Linked DNA regions of Arabidopsis thaliana. The protein of the gene in region 1 purifies or fractionates together with the protein of each later gene. This does not show direct contact. Each region holds a gene or a part of one and is shown in the gene's direction. Other genes may lie near its edges.

What was found.
Region 2: the proteins of AT4G14342 (region 1) and AT1G61700 fractionate together in Arabidopsis thaliana (co-fractionation; one large-scale study listed by BioGRID). This does not show direct contact.
Region 3: the proteins of AT4G14342 (region 1) and RPC14 fractionate together in Arabidopsis thaliana (co-fractionation; one large-scale study listed by BioGRID). This does not show direct contact.

What each region holds. Positions count from the first base shown.
Region 1 is NC_003075.7:8,250,566-8,259,149, reverse strand, and holds AT4G14342 (Splicing factor 3B subunit 5/RDS3 complex subunit 10), read left to right. Parts: upstream 1-3,545; 5' UTR 3,546-3,744; coding exon 3,745-3,750; intron 3,751-3,979; coding exon 3,980-4,065; intron 4,066-4,153; coding exon 4,154-4,367; 3' UTR 4,368-4,650; intron 4,651-5,313; coding exon of another isoform or gene 5,314-5,361; 3' UTR 5,362-5,614; downstream 5,615-8,584. Other genes in the region: AT4G14350 (AGC (cAMP-dependent, cGMP-dependent and protein kinase C) kinase family protein), read left to right, coding at 1-13, 91-332, 417-636, 786-865, 952-1,036, 1,194-1,325, 1,421-1,534, 1,706-1,753 and 3 more; CKI1 (casein kinase I), read left to right, coding at 7,482-7,575, 7,676-7,716, 7,983-8,052, 8,143-8,291, 8,368-8,463.
Region 2 is NC_003070.9:22,785,024-22,790,796, forward strand, and holds AT1G61700 (RNA polymerases N / 8 kDa subunit), read left to right. Parts: upstream 1-1,988; 5' UTR 1,989-2,081; coding exon 2,082-2,117; intron 2,118-2,237; coding exon 2,238-2,296; intron 2,297-2,877; coding exon 2,878-2,972; intron 2,973-3,063; coding exon 3,064-3,089; 3' UTR 3,090-3,357; downstream 3,358-5,773. Other genes in the region: AT1G61690 (phosphoinositide binding protein), read right to left, coding at 1-1,034, 1,122-1,290, 1,646-1,759; AT1G61710 (Cysteine/Histidine-rich C1 domain family protein), read right to left, coding at 3,836-4,200, 4,489-4,871, 5,093-5,553.
Region 3 is NC_003071.7:12,641,129-12,646,360, forward strand, and holds RPC14 (RNApolymerase 14 kDa subunit), read left to right. Parts: upstream 1-1,699; 5' UTR 1,700-2,159; coding exon 2,160-2,388; intron 2,389-2,509; coding exon 2,510-2,700; 3' UTR 2,701-2,816; downstream 2,817-5,232. Other genes in the region: TIM10 (Tim10/DDP family zinc finger protein), read right to left, coding at 64-133, 260-298, 580-651, 776-828, 1,077-1,115; TUB7 (tubulin beta-7 chain), read right to left, coding at 3,130-3,815, 3,956-4,225, 4,411-4,804.

The sequences.
Region 1 (8,584 bases):
TCGCAGAGGCCAGGTATTTAAATTCCTTCAAGTGGCTTTCGTTTGACATTTGTTTAGTTGGTTGATGTGAATGTGGAATCTGATTTTCAGGTGGAACATGTAAAAGCAGAGAGAAATTTACTTGCAGAAGTTGATAGCAATTGCATTGTCAAACTGTATTGTTCTTTCCAAGATGAAGAGTACTTGTATCTCATAATGGAGTATTTACCTGGTGGGGATATGATGACTTTACTTATGAGGAAAGACACCCTCACTGAAGACGAGGCCAGGTTTTATATTGGGGAAACTGTCCTGGCTATTGAGTCCATTCATAAGCACAACTACATTCACAGGTCAGTGAAGCAGAATATATGATTTAGTTCTAGCTCCCATTGTTATTTTGTTCTAAACGTCTTTTTTTCTCCAATGTGATACAGAGATATCAAGCCTGATAATCTGCTACTTGACAAAGACGGCCACATGAAATTGTCAGATTTTGGATTATGTAAACCATTAGACTGTAGTAATCTTCAAGAGAAAGACTTTACAGTTGCAAGAAACGTTAGTGGGGCTTTACAAAGTGATGGTCGCCCTGTGGCGACAAGACGCACCCAACAAGAGCAATTACTAAACTGGCAGAGAAATAGAAGGATGCTTGTAAGTTTCACTTATTCCTCATCTTTTCTTCCAGAGATGTGGAGTAGTCCACAGTATCCAGTATATTTCGTTATTGAAAGCAAATTCTCTCCATTGATATAGACATCTATGTTAGATATGACTTACTAGGTTAAGGTCATTACTTTCAGGCTTATTCCACAGTTGGCACTCCTGACTATATTGCCCCAGAAGTTCTGTTGAAAAAAGGATATGGAATGGAATGTGATTGGTAGGTGAAGCCAACCTATTCCTATTTGTGGTCTTTGATTTCTTTGGTGTAAATAAATAATATGGGTGAATAATCTTGAGATTTAGGTGGTCTCTTGGCGCCATTATGTATGAAATGCTTGTGGGGTTTCCGCCCTTTTATTCAGATGACCCAATGACAACTTGTAGGAAGGTAATTAATCCATTCCTTTTTGAATCTTTCATTTTAATATTGAAGGCAGACTGGCGATTTCAAGTCTTACATTTAATTTTAGTCTTTTTGTATCTCTTTGGTAATTCTAATGTGGAAACTTACCTCTTCTCGATTCATTATCTTCCCCCTTATGCAGATAGTAAATTGGAGAAATTACTTGAAATTCCCAGATGAGGTTAGACTATCACCAGAAGCCAAGGATCTTATTTGTAGGCTTTTATGCAATGTTGAACAAAGGCTTGGAACAAAAGGAGCAGATGAAATTAAGGTGTTGTATGCGTTGTTCAACTTTGAGATTCAAAGTTCCCTTATGTAAGATCATTGTGTGCAATTCTTAAAAACGATTTGACTGGTTTCTTTCAGGGTCACCCTTGGTTTAGAGGCACAGAATGGGGAAAATTGTATCAAATGAAAGCTGCCTTTATTCCCCAAGTTAATGATGAGTTGGACACCCAAAATTTTGAGAAATTTGAAGAGGTAACACACTGATACTATCAGCTAATGATGTCTATAGTGAAATATTGGTGCAATATATGCCACCAAATGATGTGGCATGATGTATATACTGAAATATTGGTATCACAGATGATTTTTATGCTCCTGATAAGGAAAATAATGTATACTCTTCTTTGATTCCTTCTGGAACAGACTGACAAGCAAGTTCCAAAGTCAGCCAAGTCAGGTCCATGGAGAAAGGTACAGCATAAGCACTGACTTTTTGGCATTATGTACCATCAAGCTTTTTTTTTTTATCTAATAGAAGAGTGATCATACTTCAAAATTTATCTATAAGTGGGTTCCTTGAGATATGTTGTTCTTTGATGATACTACAGACGTAGCTTAAAATATTACATGCAACAAAGAGCTCAGAATGATGAAATTGGCTCAGTTTCTGTCACAGGCGTTTCTATCTTTGTACTATATTCACAAAAACGTGATTCACTCTTTTAGGTTCAAATTTTCTTATGGTAATTTAGAATTTGGAGCTGATTGGGATGCTACTAACAGAATTATGTTGTTAATCTGCCAGTTCTGCATGTTGACGTGTGTTAGATGAATCACTTATCTTTTTGGACCAACATGATATAACTTAGAACCTGTTCTGTCAATAGAATTTATGTCATGAACCAAAAGGATTCTTGTGAATTTCATAACATGACGCTGGCTTTCTTTTTTTCTTCTCCAGATGCTCTCATCCAAAGACATTAACTTTGTTGGTTATACTTACAAGAACGTAGAAATCGTAAATGATGACCAAATACCAGGGATAGGTAATTCACTTAACCCCCCTTCCGTTGCTGAGGAAGAAGCAACAATACTAGATTACCTTGTGATTATCATCGCATGTTTGCTGCATTTGTAATTTGTTTTATTGTGCAGCTGAGTTGAAGAAGAAGAGCAATAAGCCAAAAAGGCCGTCTATTAAATCTCTCTTTGGTAAATCATCTGTTTGTATGCTATTTGTAAAATCAAGATGATTACGATCCATGTTTGATTCTCTCTAACCAAACTGTGGAAACTAAATTAACAGAAGACGAAACATCTGGTGGGACAACAACCCACCAAGGAAGCTTTTTGAATCTACTACCGACGCAGATTGAAGATCCAGAGAAAGAAGGTAGTAAGTCGAGCTCATCCGGGTGAATTTCATTTGACACATTGCACAGCCTGAACCAGAAGACTCTTGTTATATTAACATGTGTGTTGTTGATTTCGTTGAAAGCCTTTTGCTTTCTCTAAACGACTGTTAAAAGTTGGAGTTAGCAGGGGTTTTTCAACAAAGTACAGTCTCTCCAGTGGAAGCGAAGGCTCTCCCAGAGGAGAAAGATGGATTTGTTTAATTGTTTTCAACATAGAAAAGTGAAAAAGTAAATATTCTTTTCGGAATTGGCTTGTTTATTTATTTTCACAGGGAGAGAAGGTGAGCTTTGGTATTTGATTTTTTTTTTTTTGGTTAATCAAAACTTGGTTGTACTACTAAACCTCAAGATGAAATCTTCACCCTCTAATGCTATAAGCAAAAGTATTTACTATTTATTAGATTAGAAAAAGCGCCAATCTGAAAAACTGTTCTCACTGAATGTGTTTAATTGAGTACACTCAAGAGTGAAACAGATGGCTTAATGGCACCTCAGATTTGGTGCTAAAAGTCTACAGTCTACACTATATGTAGGCCTTTGGAACCAATTGCGTGTGAAGACTGAAGACTAAAAAGTGCATACAAAAGAAGTAGAGAACAAATGTACCTCTATGAGTATTCGTAGGCCCTTAAGAGACCTTCTTCAAATGTCAAAATAGTATAAAAAAGAAAAAAGACTAAGTGTGGCTGCTGGGATTCGAGCCCAGGTCCCCACGGCCACAACGTGGGATTCTAACCACTAAACTACAGCCACTTTTGTTTGTATTCTGTAGATTGATAATGATTAAAGAATCCACAATTGTTAGCCAAATTCCAAGCTTCTTGCCTTAACTTCTTTATTATGTGAAACGACCACGTTTTCATTTTATGATCTACTACTTCGGGTACACCGAACGAACCGGTCGGTTATTTCGGATTTAAATATTAACCGAAAACAATTAGCAGATAAAGGACTTGAAGAAAGATAGGGTTTAGATCTTCTTCTTCTTCTTCTTCTTCTTCTTCTTCTTCTTCTTCTTCTTCTAGTTGCTGCGAAACTCTGAAAAAGATGCAGGTATGTTCTCGATCCGAAACCCTAGCTTTTGTTGGTAAATTGGAAGAAGAAATAACCTAATTAGCTTCTTCTACCTTTGATTCTCTGTCTGTTTAATTTATCTATGTCGAAGAGAATTGGCTTAGACGAAATTAGGTCGATTTGTTTCTTATAAAGCATATATAGATGAAATCGGGAACAATTTGCTTTAAATTTAACATCTTTTGGTTTGGGTTTTTTTCTTTTGCAGGCAAGTGATAGGTTTAACATCAATTCTCAGCTTGAGCATCTTCAAGCTAAATATGTTGGAACCGGTCATGCTGATTTGAGTAGATTGTGAGTTTCTTTTGATTTTAGTGTTCAAATTTTTATATGCATTGTTTTTATTGGCTACTAATTTGTGGAATTGGTTTAAATGGTACAGTGAGTGGGCTGTGAACATTCAGCGTGATAGTTATGCTTCATACATTGGTCACTACCCTATGCTTTCATACTTTGCTATTGCTGAGAACGAGTCTATTGGACGAGAACGCTACAATTTCATGCAGGTTTGCCTCCTTTCATGTCTTTTGCATATTACTTTCTCTAGTGACAAATCTACAGTTCAAGATTTGGATTATGATTCTATGTTTATTTGATTAGGTGCGTATCATATGGTTATGTAACTTATGTTGCCTTCCAGATTTATTGCTTTGTTGTATGGTTTTTAGTTTACTGTTAAATGTCGTATTTGTCTATTCGTCGTGATATTTTGATTTCTTAGACCATGGACTTCAGTTTTGACTGACTATTTCAGCAGCCTCTAGTTCTGTAGGATACAATTATATTAGAGAGCGTTGGGTCATGGTCTTACTCAACTCGGTTGGTTTCGGTTTATTCGCCTCTTGCATGGTTGAAATGTGTGATAGGTTAGAATTTCATGTAGGTTTGCTTCCTATTCTCTGTGTTAATAGGAATCTTATCAGTAAAATTCTGTACTTTCCTTTTGCCTCATCCTTTATCTAGTGACAAATCTACAGTTCAAGGTTTGGATTATGATTCTATGTGTAGTCGATTAGGAATGTATCATTTCGTGGTTATCTTGTGGTATATCTCATTCCTTTTCCTTTTCAGATTCATTGATTTGTTGTATGGTTTTAGTTTAGGTCTTGTCAATGGCGTATTTCTCTATTTGTCGTGATATGTTGATTTCCTAGACTATGGACTTCACATTTCACTGACCATTCAGCAGCCTCCAGTTGTGTAGGTTACAATTAGATTATAGAGCATTAGGTTATGGTGTGGTCTCTCACTCAAATGTTTTCATTTGTCCTCAATTCTCAAATTAATGGAAGCTTAGTTCCTTTCACAAACAGTTGTGAGCTCGCCTTGGCTTTCAGTTTTTTCATGAAACAGGTCTCTTACATGGTTGAATAATCTTGTGATAGCGATCTCTTATATCTGAATATATGGTCTTCTTGAGGGTTAATCGAAAAGCATAGAAAAATATGAATATTTGTGGGGTGTTCTTTGCTCAAAAAATTGGTTACACTTTGTAGATGTGATGATGTTTTGGAATAACTTGAGATGTCTTTTGATTTCCAGAAAATGCTATTACCCTGCGGCCTTCCTCCGGAAAGAGAAGAGGAATAGGTGACATGAGGATTCGATTTGTCTTTCAAGTTATCAAGAACTCGTGTGATGGAATGTTGGTTTGGAGTTTTAAAAACTGTCCAATTTGATCTTCTGGTAGAGATTTATATGACTGTTAAAAAACAACTTTGTCTGTGTAAGTTTGCTTTTCTTGAATGTAAAAAACAAAACACCTTGGATTTTTAGGTTGGTTTTACACGGTTTCGTGTTTTAATCAAATTCATCAAAATTTTCAATTTTTGAACTATCCAAAAACCCGAATAATCCGACATAACCGTTATTGCATGCCTAGTTTGATTTGTTAAAAGTTCCCGACATAAATTCTTACCGTGGGATGTCCAAACGACAAGAAAACAACGGGTGTGACAAATGGACAAATAAAAGCAAAAAGCTTAGGCCACTTAAACCAAAAGCCATTTCATCAAACGTATTCTAAAATCTAAACTATAAATAATGTAATATCGTCAACGATGGAAGCCTATAAACACTATAGTTGATATAATCATACGCATCTATTATAAGCTTGCTTACTTATGGATAATTTTTCTTATTCTCTTTGACTTATTTTTGCCTAGTTTCATTGACCATCATAATACTTTAACAATACCGAAAGTTTCATAAACATTATAAAACTTTAGTCATTGTATACAATCCGAAAGTTTCATAAACATTATAAAACTTTAGTCATTGTATACAATTATCAATAAGTTTTGTTTCCCATGCATGTGAAATATCACTTGACTCAAGATGAATGGTCCTAACACGTTTACCTTTAGAGACACATGTTAATTTTCATATTGAAAATGAAAGTAAAAACAAAATGCTTAATATAGCATAGAAGAACATTAGCTATCCTACTAAATTACCATATAGAAGAAACTCATGAATTTCACACTGTGTTCATGAGTTCATCGAGAAGATCTACTAACGACATGTAAACTGGTTATTAAGTATGAGCTTGATTTCTCAAGACTCATCAACAAGTGTTCCATGTATCGACGTTACCAAGCGTTCGGGAGATCCACAAGTAAATGGATGCTTTCTTTTTTAAATTGTTTGAACTTTTATAAAATCAGGTCCTTTACATGCACTTCCAGAATCTGTCCAAGCGAGAGATCATAAGATAGAACAAAGTGATAATATGATAATATTGCGCTAGTACACGATTTGTTGACAGTTTAAATCCAAAAATGTTCATCAACATATTGGTACGATTAGTAAATGAGTAAAAAAAAACTTAAATAAATCAATGTAAATTGGGTGATGTATGTAGACTTAGGTATTGCACTAACTTGATTTTATTGATTCACAAAGTATAGTATTTATACAAGAGAGACATCTTATGAGATATACTCTAATCCCTAAAATATAGGACATAACTCTATCACAAGATATATAGTGATAATCTTAATGAGATTATACTCTATCCCCAATAATGTATCAAAATATATAAACGTAAAATGAAAATTTCAGCTTGAAAAATGACAAATGTAGAACTTTTTTTTTTGGTGGTAGATTCTGTTTTTAATAAAAATATATTATAAAGTTTTGCAAACTTGTTTCGTGTTGTTGTTGATTAAGTGATGTTTATGGTTATTACGAATTAGAGTTTTGGTCGTTAGAAAACAGAGAATTTAAATGTTAAACCGTGCACGAAAACAACTAATTTTTTCTTCTAAGTAATTAAAAAAAAAACAGTATACAAAAATAAAATAAAAAGATTCAATGAATGATAAATATTTACGTTGAAGTTTTGTCTTTCTTTAGGTTAAATTCAATTTTCACATATTCATTTCTTTATTATTCCCTTCTTCTTCTTTCTCTTTCTCTTTTCTTCCGCAAATCTCCGCAAAATCTTCCCTCAAACTCAGATCCGATTCTTCTAATTCTTTGTCCCCCCAGAGATTCTTCTTCTTTCTCCAAGTAAAAGAAAACAACTTTCTTTCTCTTTTCTTGCGAAAGTCCTCAACTTTCACCACTAAATCAGCTTCCTTCAATCACTGTGTTTGCTTTGGACCCAGTTTCTGATTTAGCGACTAGGGTTTTGATTGGAACCGTATTAAGTATATGAGAATCGGGTTTTACTGGTGAATCGGATTATCATCGGAATTCGGAAAAAGATGGATCGGAATCAAAAGATGGATCACGTTATCGGCGGGAAGTTTAAGTTGGGTAGGAAGCTTGGAAGTGGATCATTCGGTGAACTTTATTTAGGTATCAAATCAATCTATTCACATCTTGAGAGTGTTTACTAGTTCTTGCATTGGGTTTGTTTAGTTGTTGTTGAAGTGTAATCTATGTGTGTATGATTTAGGGATCAATATTCAAACTGGAGAAGAAGTCGCAGTTAAGCTGGTAATACTACGAATTTGTTTAAGTTATTTCATTCAAATTTTATAGATTTTGTGCTGAGGAAGGTTTCAATTTTGGATAATGAATCAATGTTATTTGCAGCTTGTTTTAAGTGAGACTAGTTTTGATTGGGAATAGAAGTGTAATTTGCAGCTTGTTCTCTTCTTATTCCTGATGGTTGCTGCTCTGTTATGGAAAGAAATGGTGTTAATTATGCAAGCTCCATTTCTGTCTTTGTGGTCTAATAATGGTTCTTTTTTTGACACTAGGAACCTGTGAAGACGAGGCATCCTCAACTGCAGTATGAATCGAAAATATATATGTTTCTTCAAGGAGGAAGTGAGTTTGGTTTGTCTTTCTCTGCTAGTTTATATGAAGTTTTAGTTCCAAGCCTCTGATACCTTGATATATTTTCTTTCTGTTAAATAGCGGGTGTTCCCCATCTGAAATGGTTTGGAGTTGAGGGTGAATACAGTTGCATGGTTATCGATCTTCTTGGGCCAAGCTTGGAGGACTTATTCAATTACTGCAAGCGAATATTTTCATTAAAATCTGTTTTAATGCTTGCAGATCAATTGGTAAGTACTGAGTAATGAGTATGCCCTTTCTTTAAGATGTTAGGTTGGTCGTTGAGAGTATGTTGTATCAATGCAGATATGTAGAGTTGAGTATATGCATTCGCGGGGTTTTCTTCACCGCGATATTAAACCAGACAACTTTTTGATGGGTCTTGGGCGCAGAGCAAACCAGGTAATCTACCGATTCAGCATGAGTTGGTGTATGTTTTGAAGATGTCTTTAGAATAAATCTGTGTGTGATTCTTAGCATAGGAGTAGTACTGAAGCCTTCTGGTTTACTGAATTAATTTCTA
Region 2 (5,773 bases), on another chromosome or scaffold:
ATTAAGGGCCTCTCTTTTCAATGTCTGAATTTCAGCTAAACTTTCATCTCTGTTTTTAGGAGATGGTCGAGAGTGGACATTCTCATGGTGTCCAGGATCCTCACTCCAACCCAAAGATTTCAATGCAGCAGCGATTGCTGGGTCCTCCATATCTTCATCTGTGACATCATATTCACCATGAACTCCAATATCATCTAAATTTCCCACAAGGTTACTAATGTCGAAATCATGGCTTCCCTCGTATTGAGCTAACAGATCATCTTCTTTGTCATCATCCATACTATTAATAAGTGCAGATAGCTCATCATCTGATCCATCAGCTCCACCCAAAAGTTCCTGCTCTTCCAGTTCCCTTTCCAAAATTTTAGCCTTTTTCAGTTCATCTTTAGCTTCCGCAAGCTTCCCTTCACGTTTCAGCGTAAGGGCTTTTCTCTTAAGGGCAATTACCTGACTCTTGTCAATACCCCCAGTCTTCTGAGGATTAGCACTTCGCGGAATTTCACGGAGAAGAGACGAAAATTCGCCCTCCAAACTTATAGTTGCTGGTTTCTTATCTTCATCGTCAGACCACCCAAGCTCCCTCAGGTCAGCTGCCAAATCATCATTTCCTTTACCCCCTTGACGTAGAGGCTTTTGTGATTTGCTAGATTCTTTGGTAGCAGCCTTGTTCTGCGTCTCAGCAACATTTCGCATAGACAGTTCCCTTTTCCGGTTCCTTCTTAAAGATATCTCTAATGCGTCGGCCTCTCTCTCAAGTTCCCTCCCTCTCTTAAATGCTTTTAGAGCTTCATCAGATTTCCCTTCTCCTTTAAGAATTCTGTACTTATTCTTCGCTTCTACTGCTTGTTTACGCAATTCTTCAGGACTAGCATCCAACTCCATACCTTTATTACTACTGCTACTTGCCATTTCTTTAGAAGCATTCCTGTCTGTGCTAGACACAGATTCAGATGAAGAAGATACATCAACATCAGAGCCTAGAATCTCACTGAGAACATCATCCTCATTCTTTACAGTCCTTTTCGAGCTACCTCCTGAACAAATTCACAATCTCTTTACATCAAAAACTAGCAGATAACACAAAAGTGTCATAAATAAGATCACTATAGGTACATAAATACCTTTAGCAGCTCTATTTTTGTAACCATGACGCAACTCAAACCGTGCAGCTTCTTCAATTTTCTTACATGGTTCACATATACGCACAGGTGAGTCACCTTGTCCACGTAGTGACAACCTTTGCTGAGTGCAGGTTCCACAGAACAATCCCCCACATCTCCGGCAATGATGCTGCTCGCTCAAAAAAACAAAGCCAACAGAAACTAAGAAAAATTAAGCAAATTCAAAGGTTTTTGGGAGACATAGAAGAATCCAGCAAGTCACAAGTCTAGTAATACACAAACCACAAAACATCCAGATTCACCAAATTTACTCAAAAATATGGAATCTATCAAATAGGCACATCACCAGAAACCGATCATTCAGTGAAGTTTTCCGATAAACAGATTCTGAATTAGATCTCGAAGAAGAATCGACTAAGACGAAACTAAATTTCGATCGAAGAAACTAAGAATCTAAAGATCGCGATAGCAATAAGCAAGTACCAATTGATAGAGAGAGTAAGGAAATTAAGAGAGAGGAAGACCTTGCGATTGATGAAAGTGAATTGAGAAGAACATCCTTGACAATGAGAAGCATCAACGACCCAACTATTTCCTCTTAGAGATGGCTTCGGCGGTAATCCGATCTTCTCCAACATTTTCCCGTCTGATTCTTCTTCTCCTCCGCCGCGAAACGAACTTGGTTTTGATTTTGATCTTACCGGAAATGTAAAAGATCGAGCAGATGAAGAAGAAGAAGAAGAAGAATACTTTTCCTCCTCTATTGTCAGATATAAAATAAATAATTTTAACTAATACGGTATCGTTTTAGCTAAAACACATAATAGGACTCAATATATAAAGCAATAATAATTAGACATGAAACTAATTTTTGCTTTGAGACGAGAACGAAGTTAGAAAGAGACAAGCCCTAAAGATCGCTTTGAGACGATAAACTCTTAAAGTTTCGATTCGTTCACGATGATCGTCCCTGTTCGTTGTTTTACTTGTGGAAAGGTTTGTTTTTTCTTCTCTCTTTTTGTACGATTTCGATTTGTTATATATATATGTGTGTGACAAATCTCTAGGGTTTGTAGTATTGAGATTTATGAAGCTTTTGTTTATGATTTTTTGTAGGTGATTGGGAACAAATGGGACACATACCTTGAACTTCTCCAGGCTGATTACGCTGAAGGGTAAGCGATATATAGTTTATGATTAGAAAAAGAATCATAATTTGTGAGAAATTTTTTTGGTGAACATGAGAGTGATTGAATCTTGGAATTTTGAACGTTTTCTGACATTTTCTTAGTTGAAATGAGAGTCATGTAAAAGATGAAACAATAGTGGAACATGACAATAGAATGATTTGATGGTTTTGTGTAGTCAAAGAGATTGCATGATCTTGTCTTGTATGATCATCTTGAAAGTTTATACATGTTTTAGCCTTGTTACTAAAAGCATGAAGTTAGATCATTGGGATTTTTCGATTTTCTTGTTTTAATCGCTAGTGTAATCTTTAGCCCGTTTGGTTCTAGGTGTTAAGCTACATGATTTGGAATTGCGCAATTTCGTTTTTGTTTTAGTTGCAATTTGATCATCTTGAAGTTCATAGATGTTATCTTAAGTGTTAGTAAAGAGCATGATGGTAGGTGATCACTGATATATTCCATTCTCTTGTTTCTATCTAATCTTTTAGCTACTTTGGTTTTAGGCATTATGCTAAAATTGCATTTTGTTGAACTGAAAATCTGAATTTTGGTTTTGGAATACGCAGGGATGCTCTTGACGCGCTTGGATTAGTCCGTTACTGCTGCAGGCGTATGCTTATGACTCATGTCGATCTAATCGAAAAGCTTCTAAACTACAACAGTAATATCTCCATACCCGGTTCTTTTGCCTTGTGTTGCCTCTGCTCTATTCTTTTTGTTAACTTGCTTATTCGAATACTTCTCTTTTGCAGCTATGGAGAAATCCGACCCCAATTAAAAAAAGATGCTATAATGAATAACAAATCATCAAGAGCTGAAGTGAAGGAGTGATGCATCTCATCCATGTGGGCGTCTTAATAAAACCACAATGTTTCAGAAATTTTGGTTTAATTTATAACTAGGAATGTTGATATTTCAATGTTTTCTGATGTTCTTGTTCGGTTTTAGAAATCTAGACAATTTTTCGAGCCAAAAATAAAGCTCAAGCCTGTAGAGTCATCATCTATTGATTTGTTTTTGGTAATCTAATCCTGATAAATAGTAAAGATCACACATTTGATAAGGTTCAAATCTACAATCTAGATCACGAGTAGGAAGCAGCTCTTTTTGTACGATATCAAATTGGTAATGAGAACAGAGCACATAAAAACAATTTGAATGGAGCTCCCATTTTATAACCGGAGAATATCAAAGTTTTTTAGTTACAAGTGGTTGTATTAATTCAAGGAAACCATTTAACAAAAGAAATATAAATATTTATATTAAATATACACTATAATTAGTTGAATATATATTTATTTTGGATCAAATGTTTATTAAGATATATTTTTATTATAAAAATTTATTCTGAAATATGTTTATTGAACAATATACTGAACTTAACAAACCAAGGAGACTTTTTTTATTTTATTTTTTTTCAAACACAAACCAAGGAGACAAATATGAAGAAAACAAATTACATTTGAATAGAGAGGTAGAGCTATATAACTCACTGAATGCTTGGAAATATTGTCTATTAGTCTATTACAGATTAAGATTTTCTAAAAGAATTTGAGCCCGCTGAACCCAGAATTTGAGAGTTTGGCTTAGACTCAAATTCGAGTTTTTACCTAGTACGCATTCAATATGGAAAATGGTGCAGCACTCAACGCACCAATAGAACACTTTTGTGTTTGTGTCTCTTAAATTACGTTCACATACTTCGCACCAATCTTTTTCACGGACCTCTTCTTCCCATATAGCTGTGAGAAAGTGTTTGTCATGTTCATACCTTGCTCTATAGGGTAATGTAGCACACTTCATACAAACAATAAAATCACATTTGATGCAATTTAATTGATTATGACGTTCTGTTTTGCATACGCGACATATGAGTTTTCCGTCTCGGCCTACAAATATGAACAATGGATGTTTATGACCTTGGAAACAAAACGGCTCAGCAATTGAAGCACATTTTACATCTAGAGTGAAGATACATCCCCTTATGCAACACTCATAGACAAAGCCACGACAACCACGATTACAAGAACTGCATCCAAAACGATCCATACCATATCTACTTGCAGCTTTTAATGTTAGTGGATGAGGATGTAATGCATGTTGTAATATCCTGCAAAATTTTGCACATGTTTCATGGAAGATGAAATCATCACACTCCACACAAGAATAGAAATTACCTTCGAAAATAGGTAAATAACACGCTTGACAAAGTTTTTTTTCGTTATAAAGTATACTGACTTCGAGCCGGAAATGATGGTCATGGAGAAAATGAAGTATCACTTCCTTAGATATTATATTGAATGATCCAACATCTTGTGTAATATCATCTTTGTCTGGTAAACCTTCGAGATCTTTTCCATCCCACACATTTTTCTCTAGAGCACATCTCGAATGAACAGCATAATGACCACACTTATCACAAGTATATGCACCATAATCACCGTCAATAATTTGATGAAAAACTCCACAAGACCATTCACATGATCGTAGAGAAAAAGTGTAGGAGATACGATGGTTGTGACGTGATATCTTGATGACGCTTGGAGAGTACATACAATCACTATGAAACACAAAGTTGCATCTGACACATATGTAGGTGGGATATAGTTTTCTCACCAAACCACAAAAGTTGCAAGTTAAAGAAGTTTGTCTAGGAAAAAAAGTGAGAGGATGGTCGGCATGCCTTTTTGGTGGGTCTATAACAAAGGGTATTGGCTTCACTGCACATACTGGATGCATGAAAACGTTACATATGGTACAATAATATACCAGGAAGTTTACTCTTCTTCTACAGCATAAACAATTAATACTGTAAAGAAGGAAGTGAAAGTAAAGTTGGAGCGAATGCTGAGGGTGATAAGGGTGTTTGATTTTAAGTGGAGACTCGACGCATTCTTTGTGATACTTTTTCGTGCAAATGTCACAAAAATAATAGTCAGTGCCAAAATTTGAGTGACGGCATATATTGCATCCACCATCAATATCGAATTCTTTATTGTTGCACCAAAACAACGGGAGTACTGAATGATATGTAGCACTTCTTGTAGAGAAGACGAACTCGGGGGAAGAATTGAGCGGGAAAATATTCCCAGTTCTATCTTTAAATTTTCGTGCACTTGGGCATAAAAAAAGAGGTTGAAGAAGATGGTCATCGCTGACTGCTTCACCGGATGGAGATAGGCTATGTGTTTTTGGTTTGGGATGATACTTGGGATGATGATATTCCAGAAATAGGTTACCATCCTTTTCCTCCTCATGAAATCCACCGAAATCCATGGCTTCTCCTAGTCTTTGTTTACTATACTTCTGTTAAGATCTTTTTTTTTTATATAAATGCAAAATACTAGTTTTGAGAGTTTTCCACTATACATAAGAAAATCTGATACCAAAGGTCTCCTTCTACGTTTAATTATTGGATCCTTAACCGTGAAAATGAGTTGAATTATGTTCTTTTCTTTGTAT
Region 3 (5,232 bases), on another chromosome or scaffold:
AGTCAACTATGAGAAGATTTGAAGTATCAAATTGTTAATTGTTGAAGTATCAGAGAGCCTTACCTGCCAGTACTTGGAAACACAACGGTCGATGCAACTATTCTCACCCATGTTTAGCTCAGCTTCCTTGTACCTGAGAATTAGGCAAAGAATCTCAAAACAGGTGCAACTTACTCATCTCTCAGCTAAGAAAAGTTTCAACAATTGCAGACAAGTTCCACGACGTAATTATAGAACATCAAAAGGAGAAATAGTTTACCTTTTATCCACACATTTATTAAAGCATGTTTGAGCAAGCCTGCAATACAAGAACAAGGCCTGTCAGCATAGTCTCTAACCCGAGGAATCACAATAGACCACAAAGTATATTAGAAGGAAAAGAAACACATATAAAGATGTGACTTTCTTCATAATCTCTAACCAGAGGAATCACAAATGGCCCGGGGAAATGAATATTAACAGAACACCACCTAAGTCATATGTTATCAAAGTTTAAACTCTACATAACAGCTGAATACATATGCACAGAACTCGAGAATTCCTCATAGAAAGATTTTAGATTTCCTCCTCAAGATAAACAATTCAGGCAGCCTAAGGATTTTCGACATATCAGCAGTCTCAAACTTATACTCCTCTAGCTTATATATATCACTATTTGAAAATAAGTGAAGCCCTAAACAATGTGATCAAAACAAAATTAAACCAGATAAGCAATCACAAGTGAAAATCGAATTTCATAACGAAAGATAAACCAAATGGGTGTTTGATTCAGTACTTGTTAAAGAGTTCCACGCGATACTCCATCTCCGTTTGTGCCATACTAAACGCCTGATTCAAATCCAAGACACCAAAAAAAAAAAGCAAAATGAGAAACTTGACAACACCAATCCAAATCTAATAAATGGCTTAAAGATCTGAATCACGATACAATTTAAACCCTAAGCATTGCAAAAACATTGAAACCTATATGTCATCACAGAGACAGCTAGAAAAACTTAAGCTTCCATTGTCTAATTAGATCAAAGATCGGAGCTTTACGATGTATTAACAATAAAGGACGAGCAAATAAACCGAACCTGTTCCTTAGTAACGCCGACGGGAATAGGAGAAGCCATTTTTTTAGCAGTACCTGAATACAAAATTAATGATTCGTAAAAATCGAAACTTTATAATTCATACTTGAATTTGAAGATCATAAATCCTTACTTTCTCAAATGGGATTTCGTGAAGAGAGGTAAAGAACACAACAAAGGCTTCTCTTTTGCTACACAGCCGAATTAGGGTTTAAGAGACATTACACGCCACGTCATCAAACGAAAGGGTATAGATGTAATTACGCTAAAGTATCTGAGCTTCTCCACGACTAAAAGTCGCCGACTAATCAAGCTTTTAGGGTTTTAGCAAATTTCTATTGGAGGTATCTTCTTTCTTACTCTCTCAACTTTTTTTGCTGAAATTTTCTTCAATTTCGAGTTTTTCTTTGTGGGTTTGTTTAGCTATTCAAAGCTTTCAATTGAAGTCGTTCTCTTTCTGTGTTTTCTAGTTGGTGGTGGATTTTTGATTTTGAGTTAAGGAATTGAGTAGCAAGAAGGTGAGATATGGAGCACGGTTCGTTCACGAATGTTAGTCATGCTTCGTTTACTTTATCGGAAGAAGATCACACACTTGCTAATGCTGTTAGATTCGTCTTAAACCAAGAGTAAGTATCTTCTTCTTTCAATCCTTTTGAATCTGTTATGTATATATATAGAAGAAGCTATACACTTTCACAGAGAAAGGCTTTAGCTTTATAATCTCATACTTAGTTCGTGACACTCTCAAATTCTGATTATTGAGTTCATAGTTTCCCTCATTAGGAATGAATCTCTTACCTGTCTTTACCTTTGTTTTTGGTTAGAATTATTGTGAAGATAATCAAATTTTGTTTGAATAATCAGTGTGCACATTGTATGTTTGTGCCATTATAAGGTGATTGTGAAGGTTGAGTTCGATTCAGATTCATGTTCTGTGGTTAGAGACTAGAAAAGATAGTCTAGAATTAGCTCTTAGATAGAGACAGCAGTGACGAGGCATTATTGTTCCGATATCTTTCGTTGGATGAGTTTGGTCCATTAAGTTCGCCATTATATTGTGATTGTGAAACTTGAGAGTTCGATTAAATGTTGGTTTACATTCATGTTATGTTGTTAGAGATTCTCATTGTATTCAATGAATGTCACATTATCTTATCTTTGAGGTTGATGGAGTTGATATGCTGGTGTGTAGACAATGATGATTATGTCAATAACCAGTACTGTTTTCAATTCTGCAGTCCCAGAGTAACCGTGGCTGCATACACCATCCCACATCCTTCCCTTGAACAGGTCAATATCCGGGTCCAGACAACAGGTACTGTTTTTCAAAAACTCTGTTCATCAGAGTTAAGCTATGTTCTTTTTGGATAACTCTTATCCGAGTTCTTTGTCTGTGTGTCTAACAACATAAAACGTGTTGGCTCTGTGGCTTTTAGGTGATCCAGCAAGAGAGGTTTTTAAAGATGCATGTCAAGAGCTCATGCAAATGAACAGACATGTGAGAAGCGTTTTTGATAAGGCTGTTGCTGAGTATAAGGATGAACAAAAGCGTAAGGAGGAGGCTGAAGAAGAAGAGCTTAAGAGGCAGAGGGATCTATTTGGGTCCATGGACATTGAAAACAACTGATAACCATTGTATTCTCCTATGGAGTTTATACTATTTTTATCTTAAATCCAGATTCGTCCTTCAAATTGACTCGTCAAATTCATAATCCACACCAAAATTTAACCAAGAAGATTCTTATATTGCTTATAACCATTGTCACTACTACTCTGCTTCTTATATTTGAAAGATGGTGAAGTCTTCACCGAATTCACATAGTCAAAATTAACAAAAGGTTATATAATGAAACAAAGAAAAAAAATACTATGGATGGATTTTGATTTAGCAAAATAGATTGTTTGAATATTGATTGATAAATCCTCTTAGCCTACGCAGAGTATCATAACTACTAATAACGCAAGCGATAGTTACAGAAACTATAAGAACTTAATAGAAGAGAGTTTTAAAAGTAAACAGCAACTGGAAGTTGAGGTGTTCTTATCATCTGTTTCTTCAATAAGTTTCTTCTTGCTCGTACTCAGCTTCTTCCTCTTCATATTCTCCTTCTTCATCAGCCGTTGCATCTTGATACTGCTGATACTCAGAGACAAGATCGTTCATGTTGCTTTCAGCTTCAGTGAACTCCATCTCATCCATACCTTCACCTGTGTACCAATGCAAGAAAGCCTTTCTCCTGAACATAGCAGTGAATTGCTCACTGACACGCCTGAACATCTCTTGGATCGAAGTTGAGTTACCAATGAACGTTGAAGCCATCTTCAGACCAGTAGGGGGAATGTCACAGACGGTTGATTTGACGTTGTTAGGGATCCATTCCACAAAGTAGGAGGAGTTCTTGTTCTGTACGTTCAGCATCTGTTCATCGACCTCCTTGGTGCTCATCTTTCCACGGAACATGGCTGAAGCAGTGAGGTAGCGACCGTGTCTTGGGTCAGCAGCACACATCATGTTCTTAGCATCCCACATTTGCTGAGTGAGCTCTGGGACAGTGAGGTTACGGTACTGCTGAGATCCACGAGAGGTGAGAGGAGCAAATCCCACCATGAAGAAGTGGAGACGAGGGAATGGGATCAGATTCACAGCTAGCTTTCGCAGATCAGAGTTCAGTTGACCAGGGAACCTAAGACAGCAGGTTACACCAGACATGGTTGCAGAGATCAAGTGGTTCAGATCACCAACTGCACAATTCAGAAAACAAACAAAAAAATATGTGAGTGAAGTTTCAATACTAATCAATAACTAAGCCTGAAACAATAAACCACAGAGACAGATACAGTAACAACATTGACTCATAATCGAAGAACATTGGAATACTTACAACTTGGAGTGCTAAGCTTGAGTGTACGGAAGCAAATGTCATACAAAGCTTCGTTGTCAAGAACCATACACTCATCAGCGTTCTCAACAAGCTGGTGCACAGATAGTGTTGCGTTGTAAGGCTCCACAACAGTGTCAGACACCTTAGGCGATGGGAACACAGAGAAAGTCATCATCATACGGTCTGGGTACTCCTCCCTGATCTTAGATATCAACAAAGTTCCCATTCCAGAACCAGTTCCTCCTCCCAAGGAATGGCACACCTGAAATCCTGTAAATCCAAACAACCAAAACCATAAGCAAACAACGAATACAAAACCGAATCCGTATTCCACAGTTCAAAATCAGAAATCTAAACCTAAAAACAATCATACACTACCAATACCCAACCTAAATTTACAGATCCAAAAACCTAAATAGACAAAAACCTAAATAAGGAAGACGGATTTCAAATACCTTGAAGGCAGTCACAGTTCTCAGCCTCTTTGCGAACAACATCAAGGACCGAATCAATAAGCTCAGCACCTTCAGTGTAGTGACCTTTAGCCCAGTTATTCCCAGCACCGGACTGACCGAAGACGAAGTTATCCGGTCGAAAGATCTGACCGTACGGACCAGATCTGACACTGTCCATGGTTCCAGGCTCCAAATCCATGAGAACAGCGCGAGGAACGTACCTTCCACAACTCGCCTCGTTGTAGTATACATTAACCCTCTCAAGCTGTAACTCGGAATCTCCTACATACCGTCCCGTCTGATCAATCCCGTGCTCGAGATTAACCACTTCCCAAAACTTGGAACCGATTTGGTTTCCGCATTGACCTCCTTGAATATGAAGAATCTCACGCATCTTCGCTCACAGAGAAGAAAACCCTAAAACTGGATCTAAAAAGAGAGAGAGAGAGAGAGATTTTGAAAAAGGGAAAGGAGAAGCAGAGAGGATCTTTTGTTTTATGAGAGAGAGAAGAAGAGGAGGGTCCATTTATAAAGAAAAGGAGGTTTTAACGGCTAATATTTGGTAATTCGAAATCGAATCGACGGTTTAGATAATGCCACGTAAATCGAGGTGGCAACGGGTGGCAAAATTCAAAAATTAATGGCTCGTGATAAAAAGTTTTTTTGAATTTCGTAAAAAAATATGTTCGTGTGAATGACAGCTGGATTCCATTAAGGAGAGCAGTTACTAAAACATCGTCGCACTCGCACGTGCTTTATGAGAGATAAAAAAGCGGTTCCAACCTGGCAATCGCACGTGAGAGACTTCTTATTGGGCCTAAA